Linked DNA regions of Neodiprion lecontei. The protein of the gene in region 3 purifies or fractionates together with the protein of the main gene of each other region. This does not show direct contact. Links are inferred from orthologs where the notes say so. Each region holds a gene or a part of one and is shown on either strand. Other genes may lie near its edges. The genes, in order: PHD finger-like domain-containing protein 5A, ATP-dependent RNA helicase DDX42 and splicing factor 3B subunit 4.

Region 1 (5,780 bases), about 6.0 Mb from region 3:
AGGAAAAACACACACATAATAATGTCCTATAAATGACACGGGTGAATTGATATAATTATTCAGTATCAAGCAATAATGGAGTAACGAGGATGAGATGGAAAAAAAAAATACTAAAAATTGAAAAACCGTATCCAATAAATGTTTCACGTATGTCGATACCTCGCAATAGTAAAGATATGAACAAACTCAATGTAACAACATTTCACAAAAATGCAACACATGTACAAAGAGGCAGAAAACAAATAACCAAAAAACAAAAAAAAAAAAAAAAAGAAAGAAAAACGATTTACAATATTGCCTAAATACAATGATCAAAATAATTATCGAATTTCATGTACAACATACATGCTATGAAACAATCAATTGAAAACTGATCACAATAATCGAAGATATGTTTAAAAAAAAGATTATGTAGCTTAGGAATTGACACGAATTTTGTAATGCATAATTTCAGACTAAAGAATTAATTTCGAGAGAATGAATTCTGTTTTGGAATAAATTTTGGTAGGAACCTATGGCCCTCCCGCCCCGTCCAGACGTTATGCTTACACAATGAGATTGATGTCGATGTTATAATACGAAATAATAGCATTTCAATGTAGAAAAGTCCTGTAATTATAATTTTATCGTCTTTTATTAATTGTTGTAGAAACAATTACTAATGGTGCTGGTGTAGAAAAAACCCCATCAAGTAAACATAAAAATGTATCGCTTGGCGTTAAAATATGTAGATTATTAAAATTAGTTCGCTTGTAAGATTATTTTTCTTTTTTTTTTTCTTCATCGCAATCGTCCAATAGCGTGAATTTTCTTTTTTCCTTTCTAATAAGTTTAATACTCTTAATATGAGGGATATTGAATTAAATTAACACTTGGCCAATTTCACGGTCAGTTTAATAAGAACTAAATATAAATGTTAGGATCCTAAAAAATATTGGATTTTAGAATCTCATATTTGTCATTAGCGTAAAGTTTATATGTAAACAAGTACAGACGTAGGGTAATATTGCTTACGTCTTACTGTCCTCAGAAGTAAAATTCAATAGCTGCAATGATGTTTAAATACAGAGAAAAGATTTCAAGTATTTGCTCTTTACGATTAATCAAATTTTTTGATAAGTATATCGTATGACCAATCGAATGGCTTTGTGTATTGCTAAGAATTAGCTTACGCGGCACCCATCGATCTTTAACATGTAGAATAGTGAATTTGTGAATAGTAAAAAGAGCGATTATTACAATGATAATAACCGATGATCACGTCGGTTGTTAATCATAAATTACAGCTGAGAAGTACAATACTGAAAACTAACCATCTCATGCATGTTAGCGATGATAGATTAATTGATTAGTGTTTAAAGTAAAGAAAAATATATATATAGGTATATATGTATACCAAAAAAGAGAAAAAAAAATAGTCGATCAAAGTTATATCGAATTTTCAGTAGGTTATGAATTGCAAGTAGTTGGTCTATCACTCGTGGTTTATCATTGTAAAAACTTTAATTCTCTTCTCTAATAATTTTACTGACAATACCGTCTACTAGAAAATGACTTGATAAGAAATAACTAATGCAGCTCAACAGTATTGAATATTGGCCAAATAGGGTAATATTTTACCAAATAAGTTTGTGCCCAAGTTAAAGTGAATTGAATCAACGATATGAAATGAATTTCAACAGCTTTATTATTAAACTTACATATTTCCCTAAGTATAAGGGTAGAAATAATCGGTATTGGTTTCAAAGTTTCGATTGATATTTATCGAACAAAGATTAGAATAAAAGTGTTCATATTCTCAGTTAAATAGCCTGACGAATACAAATATAATACGACACATATGACTTTCAACAATGTTAGTAAAACTGTTAGAAAATGTTTAATAATTGGTACAGGTAACTGAAATTGTTACTAAATAAACTATTGGATTGTAATAGTCATACGCTAAGTCAGACACTGTAGCAGAAGAGTAATGCAAGTGGAATCGCCTAGAGAATTGAAAATTTGAATATTTTATGCAGTCTTTTTAAACAGTTATGTATTTCTAAAAAACATGGCTTTTTGCAAATGTAAGTACAGTCTTTTGGAAAAACCTCTTTGCAGAAGTTCTCTCATATATAATACTTGTGAAACGGTGAAAGACAAGTTTTTCTTTAGCAAAAATCGTGCCCTCAAAATTGCGTGCCAAAATGTAACGTCTGTGTTAATAAAGATTGTTTGATCTGCGTGCATTATTCTTCTAACACTATTTCTTTAGATATGTGGTTTTAAACGTATTCAAAAACTTTAAAGTACGTTGTGTGCAAATATAACGTAAAAGGACGAAAACAAATTGTAAAAAAAATTAGGAAAACATAATTCATTCGTAGAATAATGTTGATGACAAATGAATAGAGCTATATTTAAATAAAAATCAAATATAACTTTTCACGATCAACTTTCATTTTCCAATTATCCCTTGTCTAAATCCAAATCTCTGCAGGGGATCGACGGACAGGAAATGTAATTAGGAATCGGTCCAATGATTTTGCCTGTCGTTGCCTCGTCATAAATAAGAATAAAGACGAAATACAGATGTACGAATATAATTCAACCGTTTATTATAAAAACACAGAACGCAATGTTCCATCCTCATTCATTCTCATTTCACACATCATAACTTACAGATACCGAGATGTTGTAGTCTATACTTATACACATAATTACATCTATCGTCGTTTAAATCCATACTTTTTCCTTTCGTAGAATAGATCCGTTTTCGAACTTCCCAGGTTTACAATTTTCGGGCACCCGTCTCTCTGTCGTAAATATTTAAAGAATTAGCATTTTCAGCGTCGCCAATTTGAATCTATGATAACGATCTTACGTACATCTTTTTCTTGAATTGTACATTCTTTGCAGTAATATGCATCAGATACACCGGGTCCTCCGCAGATAACGCAACGGCCTTGGTAAGATCCGTAATTACATTCGTCACAAATTCGTACCAGTGTACAAGGCCTCACATACGAGTCGCAGATTACACATTTTCCATCACACTTTTCACATAATCGACCAATAGCTGGAGACGGAAAATTCAAATTGTTTGTAGAAAATTATTCACAGGTGAAGCCAGGTTGGCTAGGGTGATGTTAGGTTATGTCAACTTGTAGAATCGGCAGAATGAACCATGAAGTAATATTTTCAAGGTCGCAGTTTCGAAAACGATAATACCAGTAGCCATACGTGTTTCACGAGCTATTATTAGCAATGAAATAAGTCATAAAATCTCGAAACGAGCGGAGATAGTAATGATCAGCATTGCGATCAAGTCTTACGCTATTTTTCAAACAACTTACCAACGCCCGGCTGTTTCCTACAAAATATCAAATCTGGATGATGCTTAGCCATGCTTTGGAATGATTAGCGTCCTTCGGATACCTCAGAATACTTAAATTATTTTGTCAATATCAACTTGCAACTTTTCAAAAAGGCCGACCTTACCGAAAACGGATGTATCGGTATCAAATTAATTTTCAACATCGGTACCTTCACCCGCCACTAGAGGGTACATTTTCAAACGCAAATACAAGGAATTTGAAATTTAAACTTGCTATGATTATTGAAATGAAAGATTAAACGAAACGTAGATGGAATTGAGACAAACGTTATATTCCCGTATTTCACACAAATAATCAAACTATCAGAGAGAGCGAGAGAGAGAGAACTGAAAGCACAAGTCTTCTATTTCGTTTATGCTCTCTCTCATTTAGACACATTCGGTAATCCACATCATGCGTTTCGAAATCAGCCCCCGGTGCTGTCAACTATCTTACGTCGTTTTTCGCTATAGAGTTCGTAGCTGGTTTTAGTCCTAGGGAGTTTTCAGCGCTGCCAGTTAGTTTTGGAACGCACTCATAAATTGTCATAGACTATTGACTGAAGACTGGACGGCTATGCTAACAAGATTTTGTGTACTTATGTGATTATGTGATAAAAGGCCTCCGCCGATAAAGAAGCTTCAGATCACTCCAATTCCACTTGCTGAGTATTGGTCACAAAAATTTATCCAAGGGTAACAGATTTAAATTCTTCAGTCAACGCAGACTCACTCACTCACCCCCTCGCACCCAAATTCAGAATATATTCGCTGATGGATCCGCAGTGACCAGTGACAATCAGATTAGAGGGAATAATTCAGACAGCTGCAATCCTCGGATGCACGAATTTACCAATCCAAGTACCAGAATTAGCTTCCTCGTAGCGCGTTCGCTGACTGCAGTTTGGCATTATTTGGCATGTTAGAGCACAGTGCGAAGTGTCGGTCGTGTGCGTATTTTTGGACATCGCGCGTATTTACGCGTACGTATTATGTACGTGAGAAAAAAGTAGTAAGGCTTCAACTCGGAGGGAAGGAATAGGGTGATATTCGACCGTAGTAAATTTTGTATCATTTCTCAATCCTGCCCTCTTTATTGCGCGAACGATTTCGGGGTGAATGACGGGTCGCAAGTCCCGTAATGGATAATTCTAATTGGGATGCAGGTGAGTCTTTAAATTATTTCGTTATTTCTACCCCTTGATAATTTGTTCTGGTTTCACGACATTGGCTGAAAATGTGTTGAAGAATTGAATATTTTCACCACGGTATGCAATTTTCATGTAAAGAATCACCGAAAGTCAATGAAAAATATCTGCGCTACATTAGTCAGTTTTATTTGTATATAGATTTTTAATTGAAATTCTCTCGTAAGTAATTGTCTCAATTGGGTAGGACTTTTCAAATCAATTCTATTGACATTTTAAACCGTTCGTTCTAAACTAGAAGTAAGCAAAGCTGTGAAATCTTGTTGATCTTTCAAGCTGGACAGGTTCTCGAGTCCTTACATCAAACTTGTAAATAGACAATAACTATTTATAGAATAGTCTTGAAGCTCGGTTATACACAGTTTTTATGCTTATCTCCTATTTCTATTTCTCTGTACAGGTACTCATGCTGTATGGTATTAAATTTTAGGTTTTTCATTTCATTTTCAGCCTTATCAAAGCTTCTCAATTCACTGGAAGATAATAAGACTGAACTCCCAAGTTGCAGCGAGGAGGAGCTTAATTTTCTCAGTGAAATATTAAAGTCGAAGGAGCTTAACGCGTTGGTTAACGTTCACAACAAGATCATAAATCTCTCCAATGATGACAAATTCTTTCCTGTATTATCAAACTCCATGGACGTCAACATCGACGTTTTGGATGTACTTGTGCCAAAAACACGTGGATCCGCAGATTGCAAGCAACTATTTCTTTTATTACAGAACCGTCATATGCAGGTAAGAGAAGGAAATCAATGAAATTAAAAAATACAAGGAGAAATTTCAAATGAAAAATCTTTTCATTCTGCAATAATAATTTAATTTAGGGAGGAAAGAGATGATAGCAATTCAATTTCGATATATATCCTTCTTTTACAAATATCAAGTATCATGCTTGGAACAATTAAACGAACTTTCACGGATGAAACAAACTTATTCACGGCACTCATTTCGAACAAGCGACAAAAAGAAAAAAAGTTAAATCCATTCACACCCTTGGATTTTCAGGCTCTGCTATGCACTCATGACGCAGTTGCGAAAAAGGAATACTACCCAAAAATTCCTGAACTACCCCTGGAAGTTGACGAAGATGATGAAATCATAAAAATTGTGGAGCTTATTAAGTCCAACGAGCCCTTGGTACGTCTTACCGATCACATCAAATTTTCTAGGATTAATTTGGTTTTAAGAGACAGCATAGAGGGACAACAAGAT
Region 2 (6,461 bases), about 34 Mb from region 3:
TTTCTGGATTTTTTCTACTCGTCCGAACTGGCCTCGAAATCAACATACGCCTACGCACGGAGCATAAAATACCCAGAATCGCGTGTAACGGAGGCCTCGCGACAGGGAGGGAAGGGGTAACCCTAAGGAGAGTGGGAAACGTCGGACGTCGAGACGCCCGATCAAGTCGTGCCGGTACCTCTGAAGACGTCGCACCTTGAGGAATACCCTGAAAATTAACTTAGGTACGATTTCTGTCTAGGCTGCCCCTCTAGCGTCTACTTCTACTCCTACTTCTGATCCTATTCCTACTCCTACTTCTACCCCTGATCCTACTACTACTCCTACTGTTACTACTTCTACTCCTATTCCTACTCCGAGTCCTATTCCTACTACTACTCCTACTTCTACTTCTACTTCTACTCCTATTTCTACATCTTTCTCTGATCCTACTCCTAGTCCTACTCCTGATCCTACTGCTAATCCTACTCCTGACCCTATTCCTACTCCTACTTCTACTCCTGATCTACTACTCCTACTGTTACTACTTCTACTCCTATTCCTACTCCGAGTCCTATTCCTACTACTTCTCCTACTTCTACTCCTACTTCTACTCCTATTTCTACATCTTTCTCTGATCCTACTCCTACTCCTACTCCTGATCCTACTGCTAATCCTACTCCTGATCCTATTCCTACTCCTACTTCTACTCCCGATCCCACTTCTGATCCTACTCATACTCCTACTCCTACTCCTGATTCTATTCCTGATCTTACTCCTACTCCTCCTTCTGATCCTACTCCTATTCCTACTCCTGATACTGATCCTTCTTCATCAAATATTATAAAAATGTTAAACTCACCGAGCACAAATCCTCATCCTCCTTGTCCACCTTGTTCTCCTCGTCCAGCTCGACTACCTCCAACCACCACCAACGACCACCGCTGACCACCTCGGGTTATACCTCGAATACTAATAAATATTACAAGTATTAGATCTCATCAAAAATATTGTGTAAGGATTAATGTAATTTTTTTAAGGTCACATTTTACCCAGAAGTTTATGAGAAAATTATGAAAAATTATTGGAATTTTACTAGCGCATTGATAGCTAATGAATTTGGGCTTGCACGAAAAATGAATTGAAATAATTTATTGTGAACATGACAGGTTTAACCAGAATTACGGAAAATTAGTCCTGAAGGTCGAACGTTACCAGGTCAAGGACCGGGACAGCCAGAACTACGGAGCGCTTCTCCTGGATGTCAAGATCCATCAGGTGGAGGACCTGGACAGATAGAACTACGGAAAATTAGTCCTGAAGTCGAGTAACATCAGGTGGAGGATCTCAACAGCCAAATCTACGGAAAATTAGTCCTGAAGGTCGAACGTTACCAGGTCAAGGACCTGGACCACTAGAACCACGGAGCGCTTGTCTTGGAAGTCGAGTTTCACCAGGTAGCGGACCTGGAGCGCAGGAAGTACGGAGCGCTTGTTCCTGAAGTCGAGTTTCACCAGGTAATGGACCTTGAGCGCAGAAACTACGGAGCGGTTGTCCTGGAAGTCGAGTTTCACCAGGTAGTGGACCTGGAGCGCAGGGACCACGGAGCGCTTGTCCTGGAACTCGCGTTGCATCAGGAAGCGGACCCGGAGCGCAGGATCCAGGAGGTAGAGAACCCGGAACTCGAAATCTGCGGAGCGCGATTCTCATACGTCCTCTCTACTGCGCGGTTGTTACCAGACTGAGGAATTCGGCTAACTGATTTTCGTCTATATAGATCGATGACGTCAAGGGAAAAAAAATTCTAAAATTCTGAAACTGATTGCATCGAGTTGAATAACACGATCGATTTGCTGTTAACTGTGTTGCTTCACCCGTTTCCAAGATCACGAATTTACACATCTAAACTCCTGGAGTCTTTGGAGATTTTTCGAATTTTAAATTGCATCAGTTGGAATCGAGGTTTGGGTAATATTTAGAGTGCAGGCTTTCGATGTTTTTCATATTTTTCGTATAATTCCGCAAACAAAAACACGTTTCCCACATATCAGTGGTAATATCTAACGTTGATAATTTTTCTTAAAGATAAGCAATGGATCATGGGGTACAGAAGACTCCAAGTTTTCGGATGATTTTGCAACCAATCGTTTACTTATTCTTGACATCTATACCAAATTCCAAAGCCACGTATCTGTACTTTTTGGGTTGACACACTTTTCAATTAACAATAATAAAATTCTATCACGCGTACTTGTAACACTAAATATTCCAAAAAAGATCTTTTTATATGGTAAGGGTGATCCCCAAGGATTGCTTTCCAAAAGAGGCAGGCGATACGTTTAATGCAATAGTCAAACTTTTATAAATCCGTGCAAAGAAATTCTCGGGTTATCTTCTTGTTATGTACTACAGTGCAAAGTGTAACTATATTCATTTCAATTTCCTTCGATGCGGAATAACAGATTATAACTACGTGTTCCGACAAAGTAGCGATGTAACGATTCAAATCAAAGTATTACCTCGCGCTTACTACAGTTTCATTTCAATCGCTATTTCAAGTCGTACTTATACATGTACGCATACTCGCGTGCAGTTTTTACTTTCCCATTTTTATCTACGTATTTTCTCGCCTTTGTAAAATATAGATAGTTGTTGGTTATGAAGAACTTCATTTACCGATGTGGTTAGTTATTTGGTTGATAATACGTGAAACTGCTATTGCCCCCAAGTCTAAATATAGTCAGCTGCGATGGCGTATTGCGCATGCGTTATTAGAAAGAGAGAAAGAGAACTTTGTTATCTGCTCGTAGCGTGATTTCGGACATTTTTATTCTATACCAGTGCTGCTGCAGGCGGTCTGTAGATTCATCGAGATTCACTCGTTCGCAAAGAGGTTAATTCGGTCGTCCAGTGTCCGGTGCCATCGACCACCTTACCATTGTTAAATGTAACAGTGATCGTAATTTTATTCGAATATCGCCAGATTAATGTGAGTAAAGTACCACAGAATTTCAATTAATTATATGGGCACCCTTAGTCGAATAGCGGGAAATTACATTCTTGCTTCATTCGTAGAGTAAACCTTGTACTTAACCTAACCGGGCTGAGTATACAGTTTTGCTATTTGGTATCCTTTCCTGAAATATTTACCGTACACCAAGTTGAAGTTGACTTTGTATTTACAACGATTTTATGATAGCACTGAAAAATGAGTTACCACCGGGGAGGTGGTAACAAGCCAAAGGGCTTTGGCTTCGCTGGATTTCAGATGGCTGGAACCAAGAGAAGCGGCGTCAACATTCCGCCACCCCCGAACAACTCAACTCTCAGCAAACAAGGCTATCATACAATGAATTCTATAACCGAGAACGCTCTATCTGCAAACTGGGGGATACCTAAAAAGCGAAGCAAAACTGAGGAAGAGTAAGTGTTGTTCAGTTGGTAGTTACTATTATTATTGAAGTTTCCCAGATAGGATTTAGTTTAAAAAGTAAGTCGATTATAAAATCAATTTACATAATCAGATATTTTGAGGATGATGACGATGCGCCGACTTCCTCATTGGAATATATCCCTGCGCCGGGTTCTCCGACCTACGAACTTATGAAGAAAGACAATCGAAAACAGGAAAGTGACAGTGACGAGGATCCACTCGACGCGTTTATGGCTGGAATCGACGCTGAAGTTAAAAAGAATACATTCGAAGCTGAGCTGGCTGAAGAGATGAGAATGGAAGACAAATCCAAGGGAATCAGAACTGACATCGATGATGAAGACGACGAGGAGAGTTACTACAAGTAATATTTTATTTATAAAAAAGCATACGACGTCTTCCATTCGCTAAAAATTCCATATTGTAAACAATCACAAGAAAGTTCAAAGTGGTGTGATAAAAATGACTGCATTTCGTTTTTCAGATATATGGAAGAAAACCCTACAGCAGGGCTTCAGCAAGATGACTCGGATCAGGAGATTGAGTATGACGAAGATGGGAACCCAATACCACCACCAAAAAAGAAGGACATTGATCCCTTGCCTCCGATTGATCACAGTGAAATAAACTACGAACCATTTGAAAAGAATTTCTATAATGTACACGAGGAGATTGCAAATTTAAACAAGCAGCAAGTCGAGGACTTACGGCAGACCTTGGGAATCAAAGTGACCGGTCCTTCTGCGCCCAATCCAGTCACCAGCTTTGCACATTTCGGATTCGACGATGCTTTGATAAAGTCGATTAGAAAAAACGAGTATACTCAGCCGACTCCCATTCAGGCACAAGCAATACCTGCTGCTCTGAGTGGCCGGGATTTGATAGGAATTGCTAAAACTGGTAGTGGAAAAACAGCGGCGTTTATTTGGCCGATGTTGGTGCACATTATGGATCAGCAAGAACTAAAGCCAGGCGATGGGCCAATCGGTCTGATATTAGCGCCAACCAGAGAATTATCACAGCAGGTAAAATTTGTAGCAACGATAATTTACCGTCAGTTGTAGAAAATGACAAATTATAAACTTTAATAATTACCTGGAAAATTATCTTCTTGCAGATATACCAAGAGGCTAAGAAATTTGGCAAGGTATATAACATACAAGTATGCTGTTGCTACGGAGGTGGCAGTAAATGGGAGCAAAGCAAAGCCTTGGAAGGAGGTGCGGAAATAGTCGTTGCTACTCCTGGTCGAATGATCGATTTGGTCAAGATGAAGGCTACCAATTTGGCCAGAGTTTCGTTTCTCGTGCTTGACGAAGCTGACAGAATGTTTGACATGGGTTTTGGTGAGTGAGCAGCCAGGCGATATCCTTTACATTGAAACATCAAAAGTCATTACTGTTCTGTACAAACAAACTCATTTTTATCACATACAATGTTCAGAACCACAGGTAAGGTCGATTTGCAACCATGTCAGACCAGACAGACAAACGCTACTGTTCAGTGCGACTTTTAAGAAGAGGGTTGAAAAACTGGCGCGTGACGTGCTCACGGATCCTATAAGGATTGTTCAAGGAGATGTAGGAGAAGCTAACACAGACGTGACGCAACACGTTGTCATGTTCAACAGTAATCCTGCTGCCAAATGGTCTTGGCTACTGCATAACATTGTTGAATTTCTCAGCGCTGGTAGTCTACTCATATTTGTAACTAAAAAGGTGCGGAATATTATAATAAACCAACGAGAATCAGTTACGGCAAATAAACACAGGCTACGATCTTTGAGCGTTTTTCAATTTTTGATCTTAGCTAAACGCTGAGGAGGTCTCGAACAATCTAAAATTGAAGGAATTCGATGTTCTCCTGTTGCACGGTGATATGGACCAGATCGAACGAAACAAAGTTATCACTGCTTTCAAGAAACAAGAAATAAGTATACTTGTCGCTACCGATGTCGCAGGTAAGCTACATCTGTGACAGAAATAACGATATTGAAATTTACTATTCAAAGAAATCTCTCAACTGATTTTGCAATTCCCCCTGATTTTTTACGTCGAGATACCTTTTATGAGAACAAAGCAGACGTGTGGTCTGAAGTTTTTCTATATGGTATATTTATCGCAATACTCTTAACTTCAGCTCGTGGCTTGGATATCCCTCACATAAAAACGGTACTGAATTACGATGTGGCGCGCGACATAGACACGCACACACACAGGATAGGAAGGACAGGTCGAGCAGGAGAAAAGGGAACAGCGTTCACTCTGGTCACTGACAAAGATAAAGAATTCGCTGGTCATTTAGTGAGAAATTTAGAGGGAGCGAATCAAGATGTACCGAAAGGTCTGCTCGATCTGGCCTTGCAAAGTGCCTGGTTCCGAAAATCGAGATTTAAAGGTGGAAAAGGCAAAAGCTTGAACGTCGGTGGTGCAGGACTCGGGTTCAGAGGTCGAGTGTCCGATGGAACAAACAGTGGACAGGTTTGTTGCAAACACGTAATTGTAAGTACACGTTTGTACACCGTTAATTCATCTTCAATTCTACAGAGTGGCGGATCCTCGAATCCGGCATCGAAGGACATCAGCGAAGTAGTCAAAAAATTGGAGAGACATGGACCGGGAAGCGATCGACTCTCGGCGATGAAAGCTGCCTTCAAAAGCCAGTACAACACTCAGGTATGATCTTATATTGTAATCGCTGCCACCTGCCGAACCGTTCGAAAATTATTTAATTATTTGTTTGTTTTTTGTTATAGTTCCGTGCGTCTTCGGATCACACGTGGGAGCAAACGATTCAGCCAGCATCTGTCGTGATGCCCCCGCCTCCGCCAATGCTACCCTCTTCTTCACCTCCTACGTCAGCCGCCGGTCTCAGCGAGCAGTCGGAGGGCCAGGAATATCAGAATTCTAACTCTGCGGCAACGGGAGAGAGGCGGAGGGTCAGAAAGAGTCGATGGGAGTGAGTCGGATTAAAATTGCTGCCAAGCCATATCAGTGAGCCCAAATCTACGATTATTCTATCATCGCAAATACACCGACTGCAAAGCCTG
Region 3 (6,206 bases):
GATTATCTCATTTATAGAACTTACTGACCCACGCTTGTTAGCTGTATTGACAGCATCGTTCAGTCGTCTAAACCTATTGACAATGCAGTGAAAACCAGTTGTAATATTTTGCAGCTACTGTTGCAATATGTACCCACAAGGCAAGTTGAAATATTTAGTGAACGAATGACATAAGGAATCAAACGAATTGCATTATAAATTATAAAAGATTGATGAGAGTTACCAATCTTCCTTCTGTCTGTCTGTTCGTGCAAAAATGTACATCTTTGATCTCTGACCACTCTCGTCGGTGCAATCTTCAAAAACATCTTTAGCTTCTTTTGAATCCTTAGACAGATCTTCATCAGTCTCATCCTCTTCATGAATGGTGCCATCTTCATCAACGCCAATTTTTTGAAGAATCTCATCCTCAGATGTCTCATTTAAAGAAGAACTCTCAATTAAAGCATCCTTACCGAATGTTATGCAGATTGGATACTTTTTACTCCACCTCCTGTAACAACGAAACGTCATATTTCATATTCTAAGCTGTGCGGAGAAGAAGAAATAAGATAAATTAGAGGGTTCACATTAAAAAGTAAACAATACCAGGGATTGTATAGGCACAGCTGTGATAAGTTACCTTCTTCTTATCAGCCCTTCCGGAAGTAGTTTAATTGTGGCATTAGCAAGCGTGTAGACTTTCTTCCAAATGTATCTAACGTTCTGTTTTGGCTCGTCCCAAACTTCACGTTTTGGTATTCGCGTCTTAGTTTCCATCACCTTTAAGCTGCCTCCTTCTAATCTGAAGTAAACTGAAACTGTTCTAGCAACGTGGTAATTGTCAGGATCGTAGCTGTATGGCAGCTGATTTAGCCACCCTTCAAATCGATCCAAAACGACATGCTCCTCTGCTGCAGGTATTTCCAAAACAGAGACCTGCTCGTCGCCGCTTCTGACGTCTTCAATCTTCTGAGGTGTCATTAAAGTCTGAGTTACTAGAGCTAACGCTCTTTGAATCGTGATTGTAACAAATATTCCAGCAATGAGACCAACTATGTATTCAGGCAAAGGAATAACGTGATACGCGCCGAGAAGTATTATGGGAACGCTGATAAGCTGATAAATTATTTTCTTAAAAAGTTGAGTCAATGCAGGTTCGGACTTTACTCGCTGTGGAATAAGCTTCTCAATAGCATTCAAAGGTAGTCTGATCAGAGGTGTTTGTAATTTTTTATTACCATCCGAGCTTCGCTGAGCTTGTAAATTTTTGTCATCCAAATTAGATTTTGATAACAAATCGTCCTCGGCGAGCTCCGCAGCCTCTACTCCACTCTCAACACTATCCTCTTCAGAATTTTTTGTCTTCAGACCAGTCTTAATGTTATAGAATCCTGTGAATCTGGCGGAACGATTTTTACTGAATTTTACAGGGGATGAAGACTCCAGTTCCTGTTGTTCCGAAAGATTATCTTCAGTTGGGGTGATGTCAGCCAAGTCTTCGGAATCACTAACACTAGAATTATCTTTGCTTCTGCGTTTTTTCTTTTTCCTCTCGCTTTTAATCTCAGAAATTTTTTCCTCAAAAGTTTTTGTTATCTTTCCCTTGATTTCGGATAACATCTTCCATGGATCGGTGGGTGGTGTGCCTTCCGACAAATTTCCATCGACGCTTGCCGATCGCCTGCCCAGACTAGTGCCTTCTCCCAATTCATCCTCAGATCTATTCCGACTAGTTTTACATGGACTAGATTTTGTCGATGGGTGCTCAGACTCCGGAGTGTACAACTCGTCGTCATCTGTGCTTGGGTAAAGCTCCTCAAGTTCATTGTCACTGGCATGATACCGGATCACCGGCACCGAGGTCATTATTGGTTTACCTGTTTTAACAAAAACAATTAGCTACCATATTGTCGTCACGCTGTTGGCACAAATTGTAATTGCTACATTAGTTTAGAAATAAAATAAGTATGTAGAGGCTGGTTTGTGGAAAATAAAACACCGAATGCTGGTCATGCTAGGAATTAAGTACCAAAGATTTGATAAACATTGCAAGAGGCAATAGAGAGCGAAATAAAAATTAGTCTCGACAGACAAATACATTGAATCTCACCCTTCAGCATACCCAGGGTAACCTTTCCAGGGGTAGTTGGTTTGGAACTCATTTTTCCACAGCCACTAAAAAGCGGTCAGACAATAGTTGTAAAGCTAGAAACAAGCGAGCGGTTTCGTGTCAAACCCAAAAATTTCGATTTTATTTTCTTCTCTCTTTACTTATCACTTGTCAGATGCAAGTGTCGCGAGCAACTGCAAAGGATTGCGTTAAGTGTTCCAGAAACTTGCCGCAACAGCGTAATAAACGTACTTTAAAACTGGCTCCAACATATTCGCGGTAAACAAGTGTCAATAATCGAAAACTCTAATGAAAAACTATAACGACGCAGTATTTACGAAGTGCGTATTTTGTCGTACCGGTGGATTTTTATACTTCACATTCACAAGCGCAGACAGCTTGTGATTCCCCGCTACGCACAGCCGACTATTTCTTATTTTTTACTTTATTCCGTATTAGAGATATTACACTACTGGGAATATAAAGAACCTGCATTCCTACCCGTTGGGCATATTTATTCGGCAAACGTAAAACAGAGTCATGCTATTAGTTACACCTACAATCACGCAATGTTTGGTCGGAGTTCTCCGCGCGGTTAGTAGTTACCTTTATGCGAAAAATAATCAATTTACTTCGCGATATAGCGCAGATTTCACATCATATCTGTTTACTACCGCACATCGTCGCACACCATACACACACGTGTCACACGTCGGAATGACGAAGCTTGGACAAACTTAATCATTTAAATCGATTGTCGAATGACAATCATGGCCTCTCGATTTTTGGCTCACTTCATAGCTAGACAGCGACGCCGAGTTAAGCAGCCAAGTAAATCGTAACGTCAATCGTACGCGTTGCTTGAAAGATGGCGGCCGGTCCGATCGCCGAAAGAAATCAAGGTAATTCATAATGTTTACGAAAATTAATGGAGATTAACAATTGTCGTTTCGTTTCAAAGACCTATTTCTTGCATTTCACAAACATCGCGGATAAGTTTTCAATTGCGCATCTTTAACTCAACATTTTCTGTTACGAACAATGCACGATTTAGGTTATGTTAGGTTATGTTATCTCGTAGCTAGAAGTACTTTTGAAAGAACGTTGCCTGGAATCCTAATTTTTACTTCATTGTCGCGCATAATTATTTCTTAAGTCAATTGTGACTAATAAATAACCTGAATATGACGTATTTCCAGATGCTACAATCTATGTTGGTGGTCTTGACGACAAAGTTACGGAGTCTCTCATGTGGGAACTCTTCGTACAATCTGGCCCCGTCGGTAAGAAAAGTTTGCTATTGTCTTTTTCTTCCATTAAATTATAAGAAAAACCTGAATCATTTTCATTAAATTATGTCTCATGCTTGGCTGTTCAAAACTAACTTTCTGTTTCAGTTAACGTTCATATGCCAAAAGATAGAGTGACTCAAATGCACCAGGGATATGGGTTTGTCGAATTTATGGGGGAGGAGGATGCAGATTACGCGATCAAAATTATGAACATGATCAAGCTGTACGGGAAACCAATAAGAGTAAATAAAGCTAGCGCCCATCAGAAGAATTTGGACGTAGGAGCAAACATTTTTATTGGAAACTTGGATCCAGAAGTAGATGAAAAATTACTCTACGATACGTTTAGTGCATTTGGTGTTATTCTCCAAACACCTAAGGTAGGTTAAGTCGCTTTCAATTATCAGTAATTAAGCTGTTGCGTCTCATATATCGAAAAGAAACGTGAATAATTAACGCTCCGCATTACCCATATTTCAGATAATGCGAGATCCAGAAACAGGAAATTCAAAGGGGTTTGCCTTTATAAATTTCGCATCATTTGACGCATCAGACGCTAGCATTGAGGCGATGAATGGTCAGTACTTGTGCAACCGTCCAATCTCCGTGTCCTACGCCTTTAAGCGAGACGCGAAGGGCGAGCGTCACGGAAGTGCGGCAGAGCGTCTACTCGCAGCTCAAAATCCGCTAAGCCAAGCAGACAGGCCGCATCAATTGTTCGCGGACGCACCGCCTCTCAATCCAGTGACTCAGGCTCAGAACCCCAACATGCCGCCGCACCAGGTTCAGCACCATCCGCATCATCCTCATCACGGAATGATGCACCATCATCACGGAATGGTCGTTCCTCCCCCGCCGCCTCCCTCGACTCCTGGGCCACCGATGGGACACCATCACCACCCTCCCCCGCCTCCAGTCCCTCCTCCACCATCGGGAGGATTTCCTCCATCCAACATTCCACCTCCTCCATTACCACCGATGTCAGGAATGCACCAATCGCATCCCCCTCTTCCCCCAGGGATGCCACCTCCTCTGCCTCCTATGCCTGTACCAAACTCGCAGCAGCAGCAAGCTGCTCGCATGATGCCGCCTCCGCCACACTGGGGACCACAGGGCCAGTTTCCTCCTCCGCCTCCCCCAGGCAGTGCTGGTGGACCACAGTATGGACAGTTTCAACCGCCGCCTAGACCTCCTCCAGGGTGGCGCCATCCACCACCTCCGCCTGCTTCGCAAGGAGGGCCTCCCCCCCCTCCGCCGCCGCAATTCAGGCCGCCATTCCCACCGAGAGGCCCACCACCTCCACCACCTCCGCATGAAACGGGACAGTACTGATTTGGGACTTATAAATTGAATGTTTTATAACAAATGATTGACTTGATTGAATAAAATGTAAATCTGTATTATATTAATATTTTTGCTGGATCGAGAGAAAAGAAGTTATGTTACATAGTCGTGCCTCTTTAGAAATTTAAGATTTTTAAACTTTTTCCACCAATCTACGATTTCGGTCAAATGTCACAACGCTTTTGCATTATTTTTTTTTTATTTTAATTATTTGTTGCAGACAGGTAAACTAATTTCGGCAAACATGATACTGAACACGGAGAACGAAGAACTCGAAAATCCCAATTTACTTCACTCCTCCATCCCGATTATTCGTTAGAATCGTACAAATTTGAACTGTGCAACATTGCTCGTTTGCAACAAGTGATTTAAATGCGCCACAGTCAGCTCGAACTATCTTAGCACCCTGGTACGGTCAGTTGGTCAGTATCGACCGCACCTACCTGGCGTAAATTGTACGAGGGACATTCGTCGCATCGATTATTTCGCATTTGTGCCGTCTAGACTACCATCGTAGCCATGTCCTTTTCCGCGACGTAAACTTAATTCGTAACTGGTATGTTAAAAATTTGTTCAGTTTTACGAGGCACGTGGTAAACGATCGTTTCATCTGTTGCACATTGACTCTGAGCCAAATAATCATCTTTCTTGTGATCGAACTTGCAAAGCTTTGACCGTGAGGTGATTATCCCTATTTAAAGCGCGTTGCGCAAGTTCGAACACCCCAGTTAAACACGACAAACTCCCATAAAATCAGCAGCCATCAATCGCACGGTGATTACTGTCGTTAATCACGGGAACTTTCGTTATATGCAAAACAAAATGCACAGTGATTCGAACTTTTGCTAATGCACCGGGGTTCAAATTTATCCATCAAACAGGATCGCTTCGTATTTTAATAATATGTTTTTACGGTGGCAAGTGAAGTACACGGATATAAATTATCACTGTGTAAACGACTCAATCAGTGAGTATAATAATTTGTGGCTAATTTTAAAATTCTGTGTGACAAATTAAACGACCGTATCAATGTTGCTCAAACGTGTCTGAAGTAAGTGCAGGTAATTTTAATCGTACAATGGCGCGTCCGATATACGAGTGCAATTTCGGACTGCGTAGTGAGAATTACACAGCCAGTGGTCCGATATTTTGTACAATCAACAAGCAATACTGCTGCAACTCACAATGTTGCCTTGTACAGCGAAGACCGACTCGCCAGCTTTGGGAAGCCTGGTACTTTTGGCTCGGACTCGCTTTGCTCGCTCTATTTCTGCTCACATCGGTAAGATAATGTTTATTTTGTATTATTATATAGTTAATAATACAACGAAACGACCTTGATGACGGTTGTAAAATTTATTATTCATTTCACAAGCATCGGAGAGTCTGTGATATTCATATCGGAAGGATTTCAAAAAGTTTCCCGCCAGAATTACAAACCCGCTTGAATGTGGAAAAATTTTTGAGACGATGTTAAA

What was found.
Region 1: the proteins of splicing factor 3B subunit 4 (region 3) and PHD finger-like domain-containing protein 5A purify together in Homo sapiens (affinity purification with mass spectrometry; 6 studies listed by BioGRID and IntAct, with this or other methods). This does not show direct contact. The link is inferred for Neodiprion lecontei from reciprocal best matches to the Homo sapiens genes SF3B4 and PHF5A.
Region 2: the proteins of splicing factor 3B subunit 4 (region 3) and ATP-dependent RNA helicase DDX42 purify together in Homo sapiens (affinity purification with mass spectrometry; 3 studies listed by BioGRID and IntAct, with this or other methods). This does not show direct contact. The link is inferred for Neodiprion lecontei from reciprocal best matches to the Homo sapiens genes SF3B4 and DDX42.

What each region holds. Positions count from the first base shown.
Region 1 is NC_060261.1:2,319,991-2,325,770, reverse strand, and holds PHD finger-like domain-containing protein 5A, read right to left. Parts: upstream 3,638-5,780; 5' UTR 3,391-3,637; coding exon 3,339-3,390; intron 3,062-3,338; coding exon 2,871-3,061; intron 2,799-2,870; coding exon 2,709-2,798; 3' UTR 2,075-2,708; downstream 1-2,074. Other genes in the region: MAGUK p55 subfamily member 7, read left to right, coding at 4,500-4,524, 5,017-5,303, 5,574-5,705.
Region 2 is NC_060261.1:42,759,374-42,765,834, reverse strand, and holds the start of ATP-dependent RNA helicase DDX42, read left to right. Parts: upstream 1-2,800; 5' UTR 2,801-2,968; intron 2,969-3,178; 5' UTR 3,179-3,187; coding exon 3,188-3,402; intron 3,403-3,503; coding exon 3,504-3,776; intron 3,777-3,896; coding exon 3,897-4,437; intron 4,438-4,529; coding exon 4,530-4,758; intron 4,759-4,855; coding exon 4,856-5,130; intron 5,131-5,221; coding exon 5,222-5,372; intron 5,373-5,551; coding exon 5,552-5,892; intron 5,893-5,958; coding exon 5,959-6,087; intron 6,088-6,167; coding exon 6,168-6,374; 3' UTR 6,375-6,461. UniProt on the Homo sapiens protein: ATP-dependent RNA helicase that binds to partially double-stranded RNAs (dsRNAs) in order to unwind RNA secondary structures. Unwinding is promoted in the presence of single-strand binding proteins.
Region 3 is NC_060261.1:8,362,274-8,368,479, forward strand, and holds splicing factor 3B subunit 4, read left to right. Parts: upstream 1-2,850; 5' UTR 2,851-2,960; coding exon 2,961-2,994; intron 2,995-3,291; coding exon 3,292-3,375; intron 3,376-3,489; coding exon 3,490-3,764; intron 3,765-3,864; coding exon 3,865-4,716; 3' UTR 4,717-4,787; downstream 4,788-6,206. Other genes in the region: testis-expressed protein 2, read right to left, coding at 1-73, 224-493, 623-1,859, 2,093-2,144; uncharacterized protein LOC107218135, read left to right, coding at 5,807-6,010. UniProt on the Homo sapiens protein: Component of the 17S U2 SnRNP complex of the spliceosome, a large ribonucleoprotein complex that removes introns from transcribed pre-mRNAs.